Linked DNA regions of Drosophila melanogaster. The protein of the gene in region 1 interacts with the protein of each later gene in a pairwise test. Each region holds a gene or a part of one and is shown in the gene's direction. Other genes may lie near its edges. The genes, in order: loqs, Hsp60B, loco and dtn.

The links.
Region 2: the proteins of loqs (region 1) and Hsp60B interact in a two-hybrid assay, tested with the Drosophila melanogaster proteins (one large-scale study listed by BioGRID).
Region 3: the proteins of loqs (region 1) and loco interact in a two-hybrid assay, tested with the Drosophila melanogaster proteins (one large-scale study listed by BioGRID).
Region 4: the proteins of loqs (region 1) and dtn interact in a two-hybrid assay, tested with the Drosophila melanogaster proteins (one large-scale study listed by BioGRID).

The regions. Positions count from the first base shown.
Region 1 is NT_033779.5:13,380,972-13,386,171, forward strand, and holds loqs (loquacious), read left to right. Parts: upstream 1-1,680; 5' UTR 1,681-1,816; intron 1,817-1,924; 5' UTR 1,925-1,968; coding exon 1,969-2,693; intron 2,694-2,765; coding exon 2,766-3,051; coding exon of another isoform or gene 3,052-3,120; exon of another isoform or gene 3,121-3,194; intron 3,195-3,555; coding exon of another isoform or gene 3,556-3,685; coding exon 3,686-3,823; intron 3,824-3,850; exon of another isoform or gene 3,851-4,012; coding exon 4,013-4,261; 3' UTR 4,262-4,700; downstream 4,701-5,200. Other genes in the region: beta'COP (coat protein (coatomer) beta'), read left to right, coding at 24-1,210; Ing5 (inhibitor of growth family member 5), read right to left, coding at 4,964-5,065, 5,128-5,200.
Region 2 is NT_033779.5:726,603-731,118, forward strand, and holds Hsp60B (heat shock protein 60B), read left to right. Parts: upstream 1-1,759; 5' UTR 1,760-1,905; coding exon 1,906-3,852; 3' UTR 3,853-3,962; downstream 3,963-4,516. UniProt on the Drosophila melanogaster protein: Prevents misfolding and promotes the refolding and proper assembly of unfolded polypeptides generated under stress conditions.
Region 3 is NT_033777.3:22,636,349-22,640,916, reverse strand, and holds the start of loco (locomotion defects), read left to right. Parts: upstream 1-1,529; 5' UTR 1,530-1,900; intron 1,901-1,969; 5' UTR 1,970-1,977; coding exon 1,978-4,116; intron 4,117-4,460; exon of another isoform or gene 4,461-4,568. UniProt on the Drosophila melanogaster protein: Acts as a regulator of G protein signaling (RGS).
Region 4 is NC_004354.4:6,224,345-6,228,990, forward strand, and holds the start of dtn (detonator), read left to right. Parts: upstream 1-1,591; 5' UTR 1,592-1,830; coding exon 1,831-1,876; intron 1,877-2,095; coding exon 2,096-2,388; intron 2,389-2,455; coding exon 2,456-3,571; intron 3,572-3,632; coding exon 3,633-3,838; intron 3,839-3,899; coding exon 3,900-4,059; intron 4,060-4,134; coding exon 4,135-4,535; intron 4,536-4,603; coding exon 4,604-4,646.

The DNA.
Region 1 (5,200 bases):
TGTATTATGCATTTGTGTTGCAGGCGAGGTTTCGGAGTGCGTCAAAACAGGACTTTGGGTGGGAGACTGCTTCATCTATACCAACTCGGTGAACCGCATCAACTACTACGTGGGCGGCGAGATTGTGACAGTATCCCACTTAGACCGCACAATGTATCTGCTGGGCTACGTGCCCAAGGACAATCGTATTTACCTCGGCGATAAGGAGTTGAACGTGATCAGTTTCTGTCTGCAGCTGTCCGTGCTGGAGTACCAGACGGCGGTTATGCGAAGAGACTTTGAGCGCGCAGACGTTGTGCTACCGACCATTCCCAAGGAGCACCGCACTAGGGTGGCACATTTTCTGGAGAAACAGGGCTTTAAGTCGCAGGCCCTGCAAGTCTCTACCGATGCCGACCATAAGTTTGACTTGGCCTTACAGATCGGAGATTTGGAAATCGCCTTAAAGCTGGCCCGTGAGTCGGAGAACTCCCAGAAGTGGTCACAGCTGGCAGATGTGGCGTCTAGCAAGAACAACATGTCTCTGGTTAAAGAGTGCATGCAGAAGGCAAACGACTTAAGCGGTCTATTGCTGCTCTCAACAGCTTCCGGCGATGCCCAGCTGCTCGAGGTGGTGGGTGCGGCTGGCTCGGCCCAGGGACATCACAATCTAGCTTTCCTCTCGGCGTTCCTTCGTTCAGACGTGGAACGCTGCTTGGAGATTCTCATTGAGACAAATCGGTTGCCAGAGGCAGCGTTCTTTGCCCGCACCTACCTGCCCAGCCAGATGTCAAGGATCGTAGAGCTTTGGCGGGAGAAGCTTGGAAAGGTCAACGAAAAGGCGGGACAGTCGCTGGCCGATCCGGCACAGTATACAAATCTCTTCCCTGGCCTGGGCGATGCGCTGCGGGTGGAGCAGCATTTGCAGGAGGAGCGAGCTCGTAAGGCGCCGGCACGCCTCGCTGCGAATCTACCACTGAATAGCGAACGTCATCCTCTGCAAGAACTATTTGCCGCCGAGCAGGGTGCCGCCGGCCAGCATTTGGAGGAGAAGGTGAAGCCAGCTTACGTTCCCGCTCAAGCTGTTGTTTCTAGCAGCCAGGTGGCCGAGCCTACATCCGCTGCGGATGACGACGACGACCTGGACTTGGAAATAGATGGAATTACGTTGGATGATAACATTGATACGACAGATGTGAACCTCGATGACGATTTTCTAAGCGACGATTAGGACGGAAGATCACAGCCAGATCTAGAATACCATTTAAACTATCGTTTACTGCTACGGGAGTCCCACATTTCGTGCATTTCGAGCCACAGAATTCCGCGCATGCATTCACATTTGATTTGATTGAATGTTGTTTAAATATATATCTATTAATAATATGTACAACAGTAATGGAGCAAACACTGCAATAAATACTTATACAACAATTTCAAATATGGCGCTCACTTCAACTATTTCGATTACATTCTGATATCTTATCGATAAAACTTTTAAACAAACTTACGATCATGCCAGGAGAAATTAAAAATTATTTTTGTTCTTTTTTTTTTTTGAGTTAAATTAGTATTCATGGTCTATTTTATTATATATTTGTACAAAAAAATGTTCTGTACCTGTTACATACATTTATTTCAACATATTTACTCTACGAGTAGGGGGTGTAATAAGTAGGCAATCCAAAAAAAGTCTGGCAACCACAAATATCAGTAAAATACATACAATTCGTGTGTGCGTCTGGATTTTGCTGTATTTTTTATTTAAGAATGAATTATTAACTAACCATTAATAAATTATTATTAAATAAAAAACAGTTAAAACCGCGATTCAAACGTGAGTACTCCCCGAATTTCGGCGAGAGTGTCAACTGGACTTTTCGCCCGCTATTCGTCGGTGATGTATCGATTTTTCAAACAACAATTACCCCGAAATTTTAAACAGATACACACCGAATCCTCCCGAAAACCGTGCAAAACAAGAACACCATGGACCAGGAGAATTTCCACGGCTCCAGCTTGCCGCAGCAGCTACAGAACCTCCACATCCAGCCGCAGCAGGCGTCCCCCAATCCTGTCCAGACGGGATTTGCTCCACGGCGGCACTATAATAACCTTGTCGGCCTGGGCAATGGAAATGCCGTCAGTGGTAGTCCGGTGAAGGGTGCTCCGCTGGGGCAGCGCCATGTGAAGCTCAAGAAGGAGAAGATATCCGCCCAGGTTGCGCAGCTGTCTCAGCCAGGTCAGCTGCAGCTGTCAGATGTTGGTGATCCTGCCTTGGCGGGCGGATCGGGCTTACAAGGTGGAGTCGGCCTTATGGGCGTAATATTGCCCAGCGACGAGGCCTTAAAGTTCGTCAGCGAAACGGACGCCAATGGACTGGCCATGAAGACGCCCGTCAGCATTCTGCAAGAGCTGCTAAGCCGACGAGGAATTACTCCCGGCTATGAACTTGTCCAGATCGAGGGCGCCATACATGAGCCGACCTTCCGGTTTCGCGTGTCCTTTAAAGACAAGGATACGCCCTTCACGGCCATGGGGGCAGGACGATCGAAGAAGGAGGCCAAGCATGCGGCGGCCCGTGCGCTCATCGACAAGCTGATCGGCGCGCAGCTGCCGGAATCGCCTAGCAGCTCCGCTGGTCCGTCGGTGACTGGGCTCACGGTCGCCGGAAGCGGAGGAGACGGCAATGCCAATGCCACAGGCGGAGGAGAGTGAGTTTTTATTCTATTGATGTCTAAGATATGATTCTAAGATATCCAATTTATTGTATTATGTCCTTGCAGTGCCAGCGACAAGACCGTTGGTAATCCGATTGGCTGGTTGCAGGAAATGTGCATGCAACGGCGATGGCCACCGCCGTCGTACGAAACGGAAACGGAAGTGGGTCTTCCCCACGAGCGGCTCTTTACGATCGCCTGCTCGATACTCAACTACCGCGAGATGGGCAAGGGCAAAAGCAAGAAGATAGCCAAGCGCTTGGCCGCCCACCGCATGTGGATGCGTCTGCAGGAGACTCCCATCGATTCGGGCAAAATCAGCGACAGCATCTGCGGCGAGTTGGAGGGCGAAGTGAGTATCATTCAAGACATCGATCGTTACGAGCAAGTCTCTAAAGATTTTGAGTTCATCAAGATCTAACCCACAAGCAATTTTCTAATATTTTTAGTGCAATTATTTTGAATGCAGTCCCATGCTTTAGTTTATAAAATTTTAAAAATTGATTTTATCAAATATATGTCATAAATGTTATATATTATTTAATACGTTTGTCCTCTATCCCTTCTCAAATGTAATGTAGAACGTTTAGAGTAATCCTCAGTTGTAAATATCCCTATAATCTTTTAAATTATGTATCTAGCTAGAGTTTTAGTACTATAGCATCCCTTTTATAGTGTGCTATCTGATATTTTTTATTGTCCTTGTTTTTATAACTAATGTTTTTGACATAATTATACATATAATTAACATAATGCTTACACCTTATTTATATTTCTGGTTTTATTTATGGTTTATATTGGCTTATTTCATTTTTCATTTTTCATATTGTTCCTTGGCATGGTGATTGTTTTAAAGAACGAATCTGTAAAGCACCTTTTCCACACAAAAGTGATATGTTTCAACTCACCATTGGCGTGTGTGATTTCAAATGTGTGCGAAATGCAATGGAGAAAAGAAACCAAAAACTTTGCGCTCTTATTTACAGCCCCGCAGTAGTGAAAATTATTATGGTGAATTGAAAGATATCTCTGTGCCGACACTGACCACGCAGCACAGTAACAAAGTATCCCAGTTCCATAAGACCCTAAAAAATGCAACGGGCAAAAAACTGCTTAAGTTACAGGTAAATTTCAATCCAATAACGCTTTTTATTCAAAAACGATCACAAACATATTTCCAACATTCAAAACCTGCTTTCGAAAGTACATATTTGCCTTAACCCCTCACAATCCTTATAATAATAGTGTTCTTGCTTGAAAGTTCAAAGTTTAATTTGACTCTGCTAATTCGACTCCATTTGTATTTTTTTCAGAAGACTTGCTTGAAGAACAACAAGATTGATTACATCAAGCTGCTGGGCGAAATCGCCACGGAGAACCAGTTCGAGGTGACCTATGTGGACATAGAGGAGAAGACCTTCTCTGGCCAGTTCCAGTGCCTGGTTCAACTGTCCACGCTGCCCGTTGGCGTTTGCCACGGCAGCGGACCAACAGCTGCCGATGCCCAGCGGCATGCCGCCCAGAATGCCCTCGAGTACTTGAAGATCATGACCAAGAAGTAGGGGGTGCAGCCAACTGAATAGCAAAATCTGAACGCACACCACGACCACGATCACGAGTATTTGATGAGAGCGATTACCGAGTGGATACGGGATAACTAATGCACCAGTCTAATTGCTTTTCTTTCCACTTTTTGGCTCAATGCAGTGGCGATGTTACATATATATATATATATATTTTGTTTCTTTTCCACCGATTCCTTTGATTAGGCAGTTGTATTTGTTAACTGCATATGTAAATGTTCATATATGTACTACACTTACCGATGAATGTATGTACGCTTGCAAATACAGACAAGCGTGTAATCGATATTGGAATCTTCTAGTCGCTTTCAAATTCTGAAAAACGTAAAACGGCAGATAAAACTAGGTTTAAGGTAGACTACGTGCTAGTTTGCGAAGGAAAAAGGCTTATGAATATAATCGGTATTTGGTAATCGCTACTTTTGCAGTTTTCTTTTCCTTGGGCTGAAAAACTTTGTAAACTCCGAATTAAAGGGCATTGATGAATTGAAATTAATCAATCCAACTTTAGAAATATTCTGTGAAAACATCTTTTATGATATGGAATTATTTAACTACAAATTAGTTAGGAAATAAATTGACAAATATAATACTGAAGTTATAGTAGCCGTGGCTTTATTTAAATAGGTAATTTTGTGCTTAATCTAAAGTAGTATTCTAAGTAATCATAAAGGATTGCATCTATTTCTTCTTTCTGTCCTGCGTACACTTGGGACAGAACCACTTGCCCTTTGGCTTTGTGGTGAGGCCAACACAAGCGAAGTGAAACCACTCGATGGGACACTAAAATGGTAGAGTGAAAGATCTAGAACTGACCACAGAGTACATCAAAATCGAATACTCACGTCGGGATTGTCGCAGCCAATCATCTCTCCATAGGACACCTGGTGGCATAGGCAATATGTGGGCTCATTGGGA
Region 2 (4,516 bases), about 13 Mb from region 1:
CACCGCCCGGTACGTGACAATATGAGAGGCACTCATTCCGCGACGCAGAGTTGGCCACAGTTGGGTCAAAAAAACTAGGGGGGCAAAGGCTAAATTGAGGCTAAGCTTTAGCTGCCTCATTACACTCAGAAATATGCACTAACAGCTAGCGTATGGCCAGAATTGAAACATGACACACACATTTTATATGCCCGTTAATTACTGTAATTCAAGATCAAAATTATTGGCCATTTAAAATTGTTGAACCTGATAATTTGCTATGACGACCACCAAATTATTTATTTTAGTGCAGTTCATCGATAGATCGCTCCCATCAGCTCAATCTGCACTTGGCTGCCCCAGATCCCAGATCCAGGAATTTCGTCTGCCTGGTACTTACGCAAATGCTCAGATTGAACTGCCAGTCTATCGTCTGCAGTCTATCCATTTCTCATTAAAACTTTCTTTGCTGTCTGCTCCACAATTACCCGAACGACTTCATCTGCTCGATCCACGGATCCATCCGCGGGTAATGACAGAGCCGGCAAAAAATCTGCCAAAACCAATAGGAAATCATCAGCCAACGGTCAGTGGGTTAATTTTGGCCCACCAAAAATACTGAAATGAATTGGAGAATCCCCGAAGATGGCCTGCAATTAATCATAGATTGAGGCTTATTCGCTATCCAGCGAAAGTAATTTGTAGCCGACAAGAGACCCTGCAGATCGCTTGTAGTTACGATTATCGCACAGCCCACCAGGTGGTCTTCCCACCATGGACACTTTCACATGTCGCAGAGTTGGCGCAGATGGGGAGAAAGGTTGCGAGAGGAAGAAGAGTCGTCGAACATGCAAATGCCTCATCAATCAGCTCCTCCGCCCTTCCCCTTCAAATCGGTGACGTGCTTTTGACACAAAACCCGGCTACTGTGCTACCGCTTGCACATGGCAATCAACGCGTCAAGCGGCCAGGAAACGGATCCCGATTCCGACCCCAGTTCCAATTCCCGTCTGCGGCACACAGAAAAAAGTTATACCTACTGAACTAAATGTGACATTATTTTATACGTATAGAATACGAGAGATAGCTCATATAAATCGCATTGAATTTATATGCAAACCTATTTCTAAACATTCATACCTAAGTGCAATTCATCGTGCGAAAGTAATGCCTTCTTGCGCGCTGTGCACCCAACATTTTCATCCCATCTCCATTTCCATCTCCGCCTCAAACTCCCCATTTCCATTTCCATTTGCCGTTTGGCTTGCAGCAAAATGTGTGAATTTCTTTAGTTTGCAGTAGGCAGCACACAATTTTTGACAGCTGCCTTCGAAATGGGAACGGTCAGCCGAGGAAAATGCATCCATCCTCCGGTGCAGAACAGTCGCACCGCAGTTCTGGGAAATCTGCACACGCTGGTCTTGTTTGTGGGTCAGCCTCAGCCGATGGAGGCGAATAGAACTGCAAATGGGCAGACTCCACCCAGAATGTCGGGGCTTATTAGCTGCACGCTAATTTATTCCGGCAAACAGAAGGCACGGCTTCTGTTGTCGAAGATTTCAGAGCCGCAGATCGCAGACGGGCAGGCGCCAGACAAATGAATGTTGTGAAATCTGGCGATTGCCTGGAAACTTGTCCGCAAAGAGAAAAAAGAAAAAAGAGAAAAGTGCTCAAGGAAAAGCAATATAAATAAAGAAGAATGGCTTGCACATGTTACATAAAACGAGAAGCTTAAAGATAATGGAAACAAAATTTGGATTTGAATATGGGAGTAGGCCTTGAACGAGTCCGTCTAGTCCGTCAGTATCGAGTCAACAACCTACATATTAGTTGCACTCACTTCGTGTCTGAGATCAAACGAAAAAATATTAGAACCAAAAGTTTTGAAAGTTTTTTTTTTATTATAGTTTCAAACTTAAGTGCAAAATGTTTCGGTCGTGTGTGCCCAAGGCGATTACCTCTAGTCGCTGTTTCGCGCGGATGTACTCGAAGGACGTGCGCTTTGGCTCCGGAGTACGGGCAATGATGATCCGGGGCGTTGATATTCTGGCTGATGCCGTTGCTGTGACCATGGGGCCCAAGGGTCGCAGTGTGATCGTGGAGCGACCATGGACCTCGCCGAAGATCACCAAGGACGGCTTCACGGTCGCGCGCTCGATTGCCCTAAAGGACCAGCACATGAATCTGGGCGCCAAGTTGGTCCAGGATGTGGCCGATAATACGAATGAGTCGGCGGGTGACGGCACGACCACAGCAACAGTTTTGGCTCGAGCGATTGCCAAGGAAGGATTCAATCAGATTACCATGGGGGCTAATCCCGTGGAGATTCGTCGAGGTGTCATGTTAGCTGTTGACGTCGTAAAGGACAAGCTGAAGGAAATGTCCAAGGCAGTGGAAACGCGTGAGGAGATCCAACAAGTAGCCACCCTCTCCGCGAACGGGGATACTGAAATTGGGCGGCTCATTGGTGAGGCCACCGACAAAGTGGGTCCAAGAGGAACTATTACTGTAAAGGATGGCAAGCGCCTGAAGGACGAGCTAAATATTATCCAGGGCCTGCGCTTCGACAACGGCTATGTGTCGCCCTTTTTCGTAAACAGCTCCAAGGGGTCCAAGGTGGAGTTTGCCAACGCCCTTGTAATGATATCCCTGAAGAAGATCACTGGACTCTCGCAAATAGTTAAAGGTCTGGAGCAATCCCTGAGGCAGCGTCGTCCCCTGATCATCATAGCCGAGGACATCAGCGGGGAAGCCCTCAATGCTTTGGTCCTGAACAAGCTCAGGTTGGGCCTCCAGGTGTGCGCCGTCAAATCGCCCAGCTATGGACACCACCGCAAGGAGCTTATAGGCGATATATCCGCTGCCACGGGAGCAACTATTTTCGGCGATGACATCAACTATTCCAAAATGGAGGAGGCTAAGCTGGAGGATCTGGGTCAGGTTGGCGAGGCTGTGATTAGCAAGGACAGCACCATGCTCCTGCAGGGCAAACCCAAGACAGGACTTTTGGAAATGCGCATCCAGCAAATTCAAGATGAACTGGCGGAAAAGCAAATCAAGCCAGAGCAGCGGGATCGTCTGCGCCAACGCCTCTCCGCCCTCACGAAGGGCGTGGCAGTGCTGCACATTGGTGGAGGCAGTGAAGTTGAGGTGAATGAGAAAAAGGACCGTGTGGTGGACGCCTTGAATGCCACTCGAGCGGCCATCGAAGAGGGAATTGTCCCAGGTGGCGGTACGGCCTTTTTGCGCTGCATTCCCTACCTCCAGGAACTCAAAACGGAGAGTGCAGATCTCCAGAAGGGCGTCGATATCGTCTGCAATGCCCTGAGGATGCCTTGCCAGACCATAGCTCAAAACGCCGGAGTTGATGGCCCAATGGTGGTGGCCAAGGTGTTGAATGGCTCGGAAGACTACGGCTACGATGCCATGGGCGATGAGTACTGTCGGCTGGTCGAGAAGGGCATTATTGATCCCACAAAGGTGCTGCGGACCGCCATCACGGATGCAGCTGGAGTGGCCTCTCTTCTGAGCACCACCGAGGTGGTTATCACCGACTCCCGGAACGATGATCTTTTGTCCAAGTTGTCAGGAGCTGGCGGCGGAATGGATGATGGACTGGACATGAACATGGGTGGCTTAGAGGAGCTGGCAGCCTTAAGTGGATTGGGTGGCATGGGTGGTATGGGAGGCATGGGTGGTATGGGAGGTATGGGAGGAATGGGAGGTGGATTCGGCGGAATGGGCGCTGGTGGCGGAATGAGCGCTTCTGCCAGCAATGACGGTCCCACTGCCGAGGAGATGAATGAAATGGTCAAGGCTATTCCCGGCATGGAGCAAGTAGAGGTGCGTGACATTGACAGTGGGATGATGTAGAACCCGCTTCCGTTATCCGCTCCAGCTCAAATCGTTTCTATAGTTCAAATATCTGTTGAGTGTCTAAATTTTATGTGTTCATCTAAAATATAAATTGACAATCGAAAACGAATTGTATAAAACAGTCGGGAACCCTTCCAAATGACTTGAGAAAGTGAATTATTGGCCTTTTCCCTACACCAGCAGTTTTCTGGCCAAATATCTTTCAACCGGTTCATTATGCTGGTCTGCAAAAAGCTACACTTCCTTCACACTTTCGGTTTTTAATTGCAGCCGAAAATTTGGAACGGCGACCGGCAGAGCGAATCCAGCTGCAATGCGATGATCATTTGCATAAAACAAACAGCAATTTCTCACACATGTGAGCCGACCCTCGGTTTTTTCCCCCGTACTTTGCATGGTTTGTGTTTGCAGATTTCATTTGTGGCCCGCAGCTAAAAAAGCGATTCGTTACATGAGAGTGAGTGCGCAAGAAGGGGGGCCTGAGGCTGGGAGCCTCCACAAGAGCGTCACATCAAACATGCATCAATAAATAAGTAATTCCAATTTGCAAATTTTTCATCGAGGCCCGCAAACGAACCGAAAATGGTGGACGGACCCATCGAGCATCGAGCGTGGGCCAGGGAAAAGCCACAGCCTCTTGGACCTCGCGAATCGGTCCTAG
Region 3 (4,568 bases), on another chromosome or scaffold:
CCAAAACTATGTGAGAGGCGAGCAGGAATGAAGCATGTGCCAAAATAATACAATAGAACCAACTGAAACTTACTTGGGCTTAGTTGAAAAGAAAACTTTCGCTAGCCAAGAAATTAAAGTGAAGTAGGAACTAGACTTCTGGACAATTTACGAGCTCCCATGGGATCGCCAACCGTTTTGGTAACCATGTATATAGCACATATATAGTATGTGCGCGTCGAGTCAGTTTGGCAATATAAATGACGATAAATTAATTATCGGCCGATCAAGTCATTGTCGCCATTAATTATGGGCCCACGATGCACGGCCCAACGGCCTTTTAATAGTTTTTCACACGCCCACGGGACTCAGGACCTTCGGCAATTAGGATGTGAGGTAGATGGATGTGAGGTAGATGGAGATGAGGAGATGAAATGAAATATGGCGTGAATGGGCCGAGGTTTTATGACAATGTTTGCTGCCTGAATAGCGCGGCAGCATCGTCTGGGCCATGAATTTAATGCGCTGCAACAGTTAATGATTTTATTGGCACTCCAGTCGCAACTTGGCCACATCTTTGGGCAGAGACCGGGAATCGGGGACAGCGGATTGGTGTTAGAATCCTCGTAAACAGTCGGGCTGGAATTTATGACTTGGTCTCATGAATATAATCAATGTCAAGAGCGACGCCAAGTGTCGTCTGGGGATCGCACTTGCCGCGCTCTCGAATCCATTCCCCGCAAGAAATCTGAGTGCCCTGACCAGACGCAGACGAATCCGGATGAGCCGTAAACGAAGACGGGCAAATCGCTCGCCTGGCTTAAATGGCATTTCAATTTGGCACTTCCGTTTCCGCAACATCCCACCCCCATTGCTTTCTATTGGCTTTCTATTCTTTGTCCGTAATGTCCTTGCCAACATTTCAATTGGTTCAACACTGGCTGACTGGGGTCACTTCTGCAGGTCTTGCTACGGATAATCCTTAAACATTTCAGCGTTAGAACTTCGAACACTTCGATCCGTTTACCAATAACATTTTACATTTCACTCGAGCAATTTAACTGCTGTTTTCGGGTTCAAAAACTAATTCAACAGCGGTTCTGGGTGCGCGCGTTCAACCAATGCGTTTGAAAGTCCCAATGTAACTGAAACGGCGTGGGCCAAACACAAATAACACGCTACGCAGATGTAAGCTCACCGGAAGGACTTTAAAGGACGAGCGTTCGGAGCTTTTATTTAAATCGAAAAGTAACTGACGGCAGTGGGATGTGACAAAAGTTCGTTGCTATGCAACGAAGGTCAGCCCAGTGTGGCAACGATTGCTTCATAAATTTCAATGAGTCTGGCAGCCCTGTTTTTATCTAATTCAAATTTGTAAATATCGTTTTTCTATCAATGGTCAATGCCTTCAATATTTGAACAAATCAAATTTTCTCTAGAACTGCTTGTTAAAAATTGTTGACATTCTGCAAAACTTTAACAGTAATTACTAAAAATATGGTGTGTCAAAGTGATCGATGTTTCACAAAAGGTATGTAATATCGATAGTATCGAGTAAACATTTTAGTGTGTTCCATCTCTAATCATAGTTACGCTTGCGCATTGTAGACATAATTTTAATTACCGATTTACACACAATTAATTGCTACAAATATGCCTGATAAAGTTACAACGATGTTATTAACCGCGTGAATATGAGGTAGCACCCAAAGAAGAGTTAGTTATCAATTAATTAGAGGCCTAGAAAAGTGTAACAAAATACGCCTGGCCATTGGTGCGCATGTGTGTGTGCCATTGATTACATAGTTGGCATAGGCGACGCACGGGTGCGAGCGAGAGGGGGCATCATCCAAAAAGGGGCGCAACAGAAACCGCATTCCATTTCCAGAAATCCAGGTTGCAGCTTCCATCCATGAGAAAGGTGCGTACAAATGTCCAGATGTGGGTTAAGATTGGCCAGTACTCCTCATCATTCGTTTTCTCCACACAGTAAGCGCCATGCACCACCATCATCCGCCTTTGCCCATAACCGGAGCAAGTGGCTCCACAGCCGTGGGAACGGGAGCAGCTGCAGCGGAGGATGCATCACCTGCTGCGAATAGTGGGCCCGCCCCCATAAGCACCTCAACCACGCCTTCGGGATCCAACAGCCAGCAGCATCAGCGACGTCGCAAGAAGCGAGCCAACTACAACTACAATGGCATCCGCACCGTGGAAGTGCGACGTGGTTACAATGGCTTCGGTTTCACCATTTCCGGGCAGCAACCATGTCGGCTGTCTTGCATCATCAGCAGCTCACCTGCCGAGCAAGCTGGCCTGCGTTCCGGTGACTTCCTCATATCGGTCAACGGTCTAAATGTCTCCAAGTTGCCACACGAAACAGTGGTGCAGCTCATTGGCAACTCCTTTGGCAGTATTCGCATGCAGATCGCCGAGAATTATTATTCCGACAGCTCGGATGAGGAGAACGCCCATGCCACGCTGAGGGGTCAATTGTTGGCAGCCAGTTTGAGGCACAAGCCCAGGTTTCTACACCACAAAGCCAAACTGCACAGATTGCGCAACTCGCCACAAAAGAAGCTAAACCCACCAGAGGCAGTGGAACCGCACAAATCAAAGTCATCACCCGATCACCCTACATTAAAACCCGTTCTGGAGGATCCGCCTCTGACAGCCAATCTATCCAAAGCAGCGGATGTGGCCAATGTAAGTGCCATGGTGCGAGCTGTGGGCAGTGCTGCACTGGAGTGCCGTGTTATTGTTGGCTATCTGGGAACCATCGAGATGCCCAAGCAGATCTCGCATAGTTCCAAGCTGCAGACAGTTCGATCTTGCATTCGAAAACTGAGACAGGAGAAGCGACAGCCCACCATTGTGCTGATGTGCATCACGCCGGACAGCTTGAGCCTGCAGAGTTCCAGCGGCGGAGTGCTGGCCACCTACTCCTCGGCCAGGCTGAACTTCGTGAGCTCTTCGTCGGAGAGCGAGAATCGATTCTTTGGTCTGGTCACTAGCGCCGTGCACAACACACAGATCGAGGAGGAGTACGAGCCGAGCGCTGGCAGCGCAGCAGCTGCTGGTCACATCAGTATCTCGCACAGCTGCCATGTCTTCGTCATCGACACCAAGCTGATCGAACATGCACAGCATTTGCAGCGGGCCCACGAGTTCCGCCTGCAGTGCACCCGGGATCCGATCTCGAATTTGTGTCTCGAGTTCCCTAACAACTCGGAATATGTGGTGAATCTCGTGCGCAGCATGTATACCATGCGGATTCTCCCACCGGCAAGTCGGAGTCATCAGGCAGACTATGAGGCGGGTGCAGGAGCCGCCGCAGCTGGAGGAGCAGTAGCAGCTGCCCACTCGCCGCAGCCATCGAACCACAGCGAGATCTCCACCACCACGTCCAATTCGGATTCGGGCATTGGCTTCAACAACGATTGTACGAATATTTCGGATCGCATTCTGGTTGTGGACTTCCTAGCTGCAGGAGCGGGAGCAGCGGCGGCGGCACATGCAGGACCACCAACTTATCCAGCTCCTGCTCGTCCACTGGGCATAGTGGGAATACCGGATAATCGACTGACTGTGCGGGCCATGCCCGATCATTCCGCCCTGCTAAGATCGCCGCCAGCGAGCTCTTCGCTTCGTCGACCCAATCTCCTGGCCAGCTTCAATCTGATCCAAAGTCCCGCCACGAATCTCACATCCACCCGCTCCTGTGATGATGTCCTTAATCTTTTTGTCGACGATTCACCGCGCACTTTGGCTGCCGTGGCCTCTATGGATGACATTTCGCTGCACTCGGCTGCTCCATCGCTCGATGAGGGCCACACGTTTGCCCATCCAGCGTGTGTGCCCCGCAAGATGCGCAGATCGTTGGCTCTGGAGACGCCAACAACGCCACACAAGCTGAGTGCCCAGGTATTTGGTCAACCTGGCTCGCGTCATTCGCTGGGCTTCGAAGCCATCGACAGTGTGCAGTCGTCGGTCAGTGGTGCATGTATGGATCAGACCATGGACACGTGGGCCAGCCTGCAGAATCTGCACAAATCGCACAAGGATCGGACCAGCATGTCCGCTTCCTCGTCCTCCCACTGCCTTTTAGAAGCTACGAACAGTGAACCTGATTTGGGGGTAAGTGGAGCATATCCTTTTGTTTATCCTACATGTATCATAAGTTTTTGAAATGATTGGGAATACCTATAATATAATCATAAGTGCATTTTATATCAAATCTAACCCATACAACCCTCGGCTTATGTGAACCGCTCCTGTGCGCGGGCAGAAATCTGTTTACCTGGACGCCGCTCCAAGTTACCTGCGTTCTCGGAGCTTATCGCCCCACACTGCTCCTCCTGCTCTCTGGGCCCACAGATAAGGGGCTCTTTCTCTCTCTCTAGTGGTCTGGTGGGCCATATATCGGCATTCCTTTGTCCGCTTACCCGGAGTTTTGGTAGTCACAGTTGGGCTTTGGCAATAGGTGGCCACGGTTCCGTTATCTACGATTCGGGTACGGACATCGCCGGATTTTAGTTACTATTTACGTCCAGGCCGTTACACTGCAGCTCCGATCGGTATTATCACGG
Region 4 (4,646 bases), on another chromosome or scaffold:
AAGGTTTGGCCATTGCCTAAAATGGGCGAACTACAAATTATATTTATAAATAAATAGTTTTAATACAGTTTTAGGCCAGAAAGGATAATGCAAAAGCAGTTCGATGGCTCCATGCTTCCGCTACAGTTACAAGTCCACCTTATCGGGCGCCCACTGTGAGTACGACTCATGCACGCACACATGCGCAGCTCTCTGAGTCACTCGCGCAAACGAAAATGACACGTATGGGAGTTTCGCTCTCGCTCTGCGCCAGTGCGTGCATGTGTATGCGAGTTTATCAATGCTGTTGAACTGCGGTTAACAAAAACAACATCGCACACGTATTTGGCTCATTGAAAACATTCTCACACACACTGGCACACGCATTTCAATTAAAGCCTTAAAAGGCCAGAAAAAAACCGCAGTTGAAGCACCCAAATTCACTCGAGAACTCAAGTTGGGCCAAATGTTTGCGACTTCGTTGATTTATCACTTTCGAATGGACATTTAAATGGAATTATAGCACAAAAACAATTGTTTTCATTTGCGCGCTGCCGACGCTGACTCATACGCATACACTAACACACACGCACACTCACATAGGGCAGCGCCCTTTGGGAGTTCAGTTCGTTTATTTTATCGAATATGATTGCTTGATTACGCCTGATTTGATTCATACTCACAGCTGCCGAATGCCGAGTGTTTAATACTATCGAAGTTTCGTTAATGCAACTTTCGACCAGCTGCACTTTTGTCTTTTATAATTTCGGTTCGACGAGAAGGCCAAGTGTGACCAGCATAGAGGCGGTTTCAATTTATCAGAAAATACCGCAGAATATGCTAAAAATTACTGTGCAAAAGTGCTAATTGTTGGAGCTCCTAAAATAAATAAATATTAAGACTATAAATTATATTATAAAATATAAAATTATATTACAAATGTGAATACTACTGAGACTAGGACCATGGCTATTAGAATCCTAAAAACCTATTGTCAGTTGTGCTACCAGATCTTGTTTTAAAATATTCGTTCCTAAGAAGCTCTTTTCTTGTAGAATCTAAAGTTTCTCAAAAAATTTTCTTAAGCAATCCCAATTAATTTTATTTTTCTTTATTCTTCACTGTCAAACATGGTATTTTTTTTTTTTTGGTATTAACTTTTTGAATTGCCCGCGTTCTGATTGGAGTTTCAGGAGTATGCGCACAGTCTGGCAGCCCCATATTACAGCACTTCCAAATACGGTAGTACCACTATCTTAGGATATTGTTTTCAATACGGTATGGACACACTGCAAAGTGTTTGGAATGTTCGATATTTGTGTAAAATTCTGAGAGACCTGAATGAAAAGAGGCATGCATTAGGGCGTCGAACGAGGGATTTTCCAGCCCAGCAGATCCTTGCCAGCGCGTGAAAAGCGAGTCGAGTGAAAAATCGAATCGATTGGCACGGTTGCGGTCCAATTAATTTCGAACTGAACTGCGCGATTTGCAGGAGAAGATGTGTCTATACCTGCATGTGCATGTGTATCTGTGTGTGAGGTGGCCCACGGCTGTGTGTGTGAGCAGCGTGTGAGTGTGTGTTGGTGTGTGGGTGTGTGGGCACACTGGAAAGAATCAATAAAGGATGTGCTGCGGATTGCTGAGCGAGAAAAAAGGACGAAAAGTGCTAGCCAGCGCGAATTAACGGTTGACTTTTGGCACGATTAACGGAATAACGGTCAAATAAGCCACACAAGCGAGAGAACAGTGAAAATAACGAAAGTGCGGGCACAGTTAATTAGCAAATTAACGAGTGGGTGGGCACAGGATTTCAGGATTTCGATATATTTTGGATTCCTGCACACGAACAAGATGATGAGATACTGCCTCATAATTGCTTTGCAGCTGTCGTTGGCATGTAAGTATCAAATAAAGTTTCCAAACCCAGGGGGGTGGTACAAAAAAAGCGATGGAGTGGGAGGAGGGAGTAAGCCAGTGGGAGGGGGATAAAGGAGGAGTGGGTGACCTCCGGGTTTAAGAAAATCCCCAACCCCTATGTTACCATTACCAAAATTCAACTAATTGACTCCTTCATCTACTCCCAACCCATAACAAATCCATGCCGAATCCTCGCCAGACTCCGTGGAGGTGCACTTCGAGGCGCCGGACAGCGGCTTCTTTCTGAAGCACGCCCGCCAACCACCTGTGACGCCGGAGATCGCCAATGTGCAGACATCCTCGGCGGTGCCGCCGTTACGGCAACGATCCTCCTATGATTCCGTGTTATCTCTGGACAGATTCACTGTGGTCGAGACCACGCAGCCGGTGTCCATACGCGCCAGCTATGGACCGTTTTCCACGAAACAAACGGTGCCAGCCCGCTACATTGTGCCGGACACAATGGACAGCCAGTCGGGCGATTATATGAACGTGAGTTATCCCCAAATCCTGGCAAGCAACAAAAGGACGCCTTGTCATACCACTTTCTCTCCCACAGAATGCCACTCTACTGGAGCTCCAGCAGCCAAATATGCACCTGGACATATCCGCCCATTTGGTTCGCTCCAGTGTATCGCAGGATGCTCCCGTGCTTCGGGTACTATTCCACGCCGGAGCCGATCCGGGTGGTCATTTGCAGCGCCAGAAGGTCTGTGTACTCCTGCACGTGGCGATGGGTTCGGAGCAGCCGCTCAAAGGACGCTGCATGCCGGAGGGCGAGGACGGTGTCTGCGTAGCCGAAGTGGTCGTGCCCCTGGGCTGGTGGCCCCAGCTGCCGGCGCCCACACAAGATGGCAGTGGTCAGGCGCCACCCAAAGTACCGCAGCGGTATGCCCAGGTCTCGTACAGTGTCTTTGAACCGCCTTTGCGTAATCCCGAGCAATGCGAGCCGAAGGTGCAGATCCAACCGTTGACCACATTCGCCCAGGTGCCTTTGTTGGCCGCCAGGACTCCCTATCGTATGTTGCGCGCCGATGATGCCGTCACCTTTCTCCTGCCACAACATCCGCTGTATCCACTCTCCCGTCTACATGTGCCCGTCTTTTTACATCAATATCCCGATCAGCGGGTGGCCGCCTTCACTGTGAGAGCTCGTGTTAAGGCGGGCTTAAAGATTCTGGGCGCCACCGCCTCCACAGACCAATGGAGCGTTTCTGTAGAGAAGGAAAATCCCAAACACACTACCGCTCGCGTTACTGCTTTCCGCAAAGAGGCCGAATCCAGTCTGGAAAGTGGTGGCAACCTAACCAGCGAGGTGTTTGAAGTATTCTCATGGCTGCTCGAGGTGGCCGAGGACACCAATGATATTGTGGACGGTGGCAAGATTGTGTGGTCCGTGACGCATGTCTATGACACGCCAAAGGACAAGGATTCCGGGGAACTGGTTATACCCGATGACAACAAGAAGCGACTAATTGCCAAGCTGGAGATCAACAAGGATGACATTCAGGCGGTGCTACCGATGGCCAAAATCTGGGAGGTGATGAACACGGCGGTGCTAACGGGCAGACAGGTGGCCCAGGCGATGAAGGTGTTCATCGTTTCGCAGGCAGGCAAGGTGGCCGATGTGACGCTACAGAGCTCCTGTCACGCCGAAGATGAAAGTGTAATCAAGGTGCGTCTGATGACTGTGAATCGTGCAATTGCTAGCTAAATAACCAATCAACTTCTTTCAGGTCTCCTCCTCCTGCAGCTCTGTTTATGTGGATGGCTCCGAGCAGCGCGGCTCATCCAATGCCTCGGTCATTGTCAAGTATGGCACCTATGTGGGCGTGGCCAAGTTCATCGTTTGGATGCCCGAGTTTCCGCTGGAAGTTTACATATCCGATTTCCGTCTCTCCCAAATCAAAGGATGGAAAGTAACCGATGACAATCACTATCTGTAAGTTTATTATCCTGTAGTTTGAATATCTTACTTATCATTCTTATTCATTGCATGGCAGACACAACAAGCAGTCTCGTCGAAGAAAGAAGAGATCCTACGTTTGGGGTCAGCATGGAACGAACTACTATAACAATCTGGGAGCGGACAAGACGATTTGTCGCGCTCGCTACCAGCAAAGTCCCGTGGAGGTGTATGCCAAGTTCCTGGCCGTGGACCAGGTGGGAATTCCTGAGCTTCATAAGCGTCAAAAGTGATTATATAGCCATGTTTCTCTTCTTATCCATTTGAAACAGAACTCTGGACGCACCAGCTACTTTATCTCACGGCGTACAGGCTTAAGAGTGACGGATCTGGTGCAACCGCTGCTCCGTGTGGCCGATCCCAAGATCGCATCTCTGAAGGGTCGAATTCTGCAGGGCAAGTCCATGGGACGCACCGATGTCCAGGTCCTGTCACCCATAACGGGTCGAGTAATTGGCACCAAGGAAATCCGTGTGGGCAGCGACAAGGTGAACCTTTCCAAGCTCATCGTGCGCGTTATTTCGGGTCTGCAGCTTACCATCAGTCCGGACAACACGATTGAGAACGGCTACCTGGCGGAGACTTCTGTCACACACAAGCTAACTGCTCAGTACCAGGAGGGATTGCTTGACATCGATCTGGAGTTTACCGATGGCTCCAAAACTCCTTTGCGGTGAGTGAACATTATACGACTTTCAATTCGCGTATATTCATTAAAATTGTGTTACTATGTGATTACAGAGATATTGCCGTGGAGGACTACTTCCTGCTGGTGGAGAGTTTG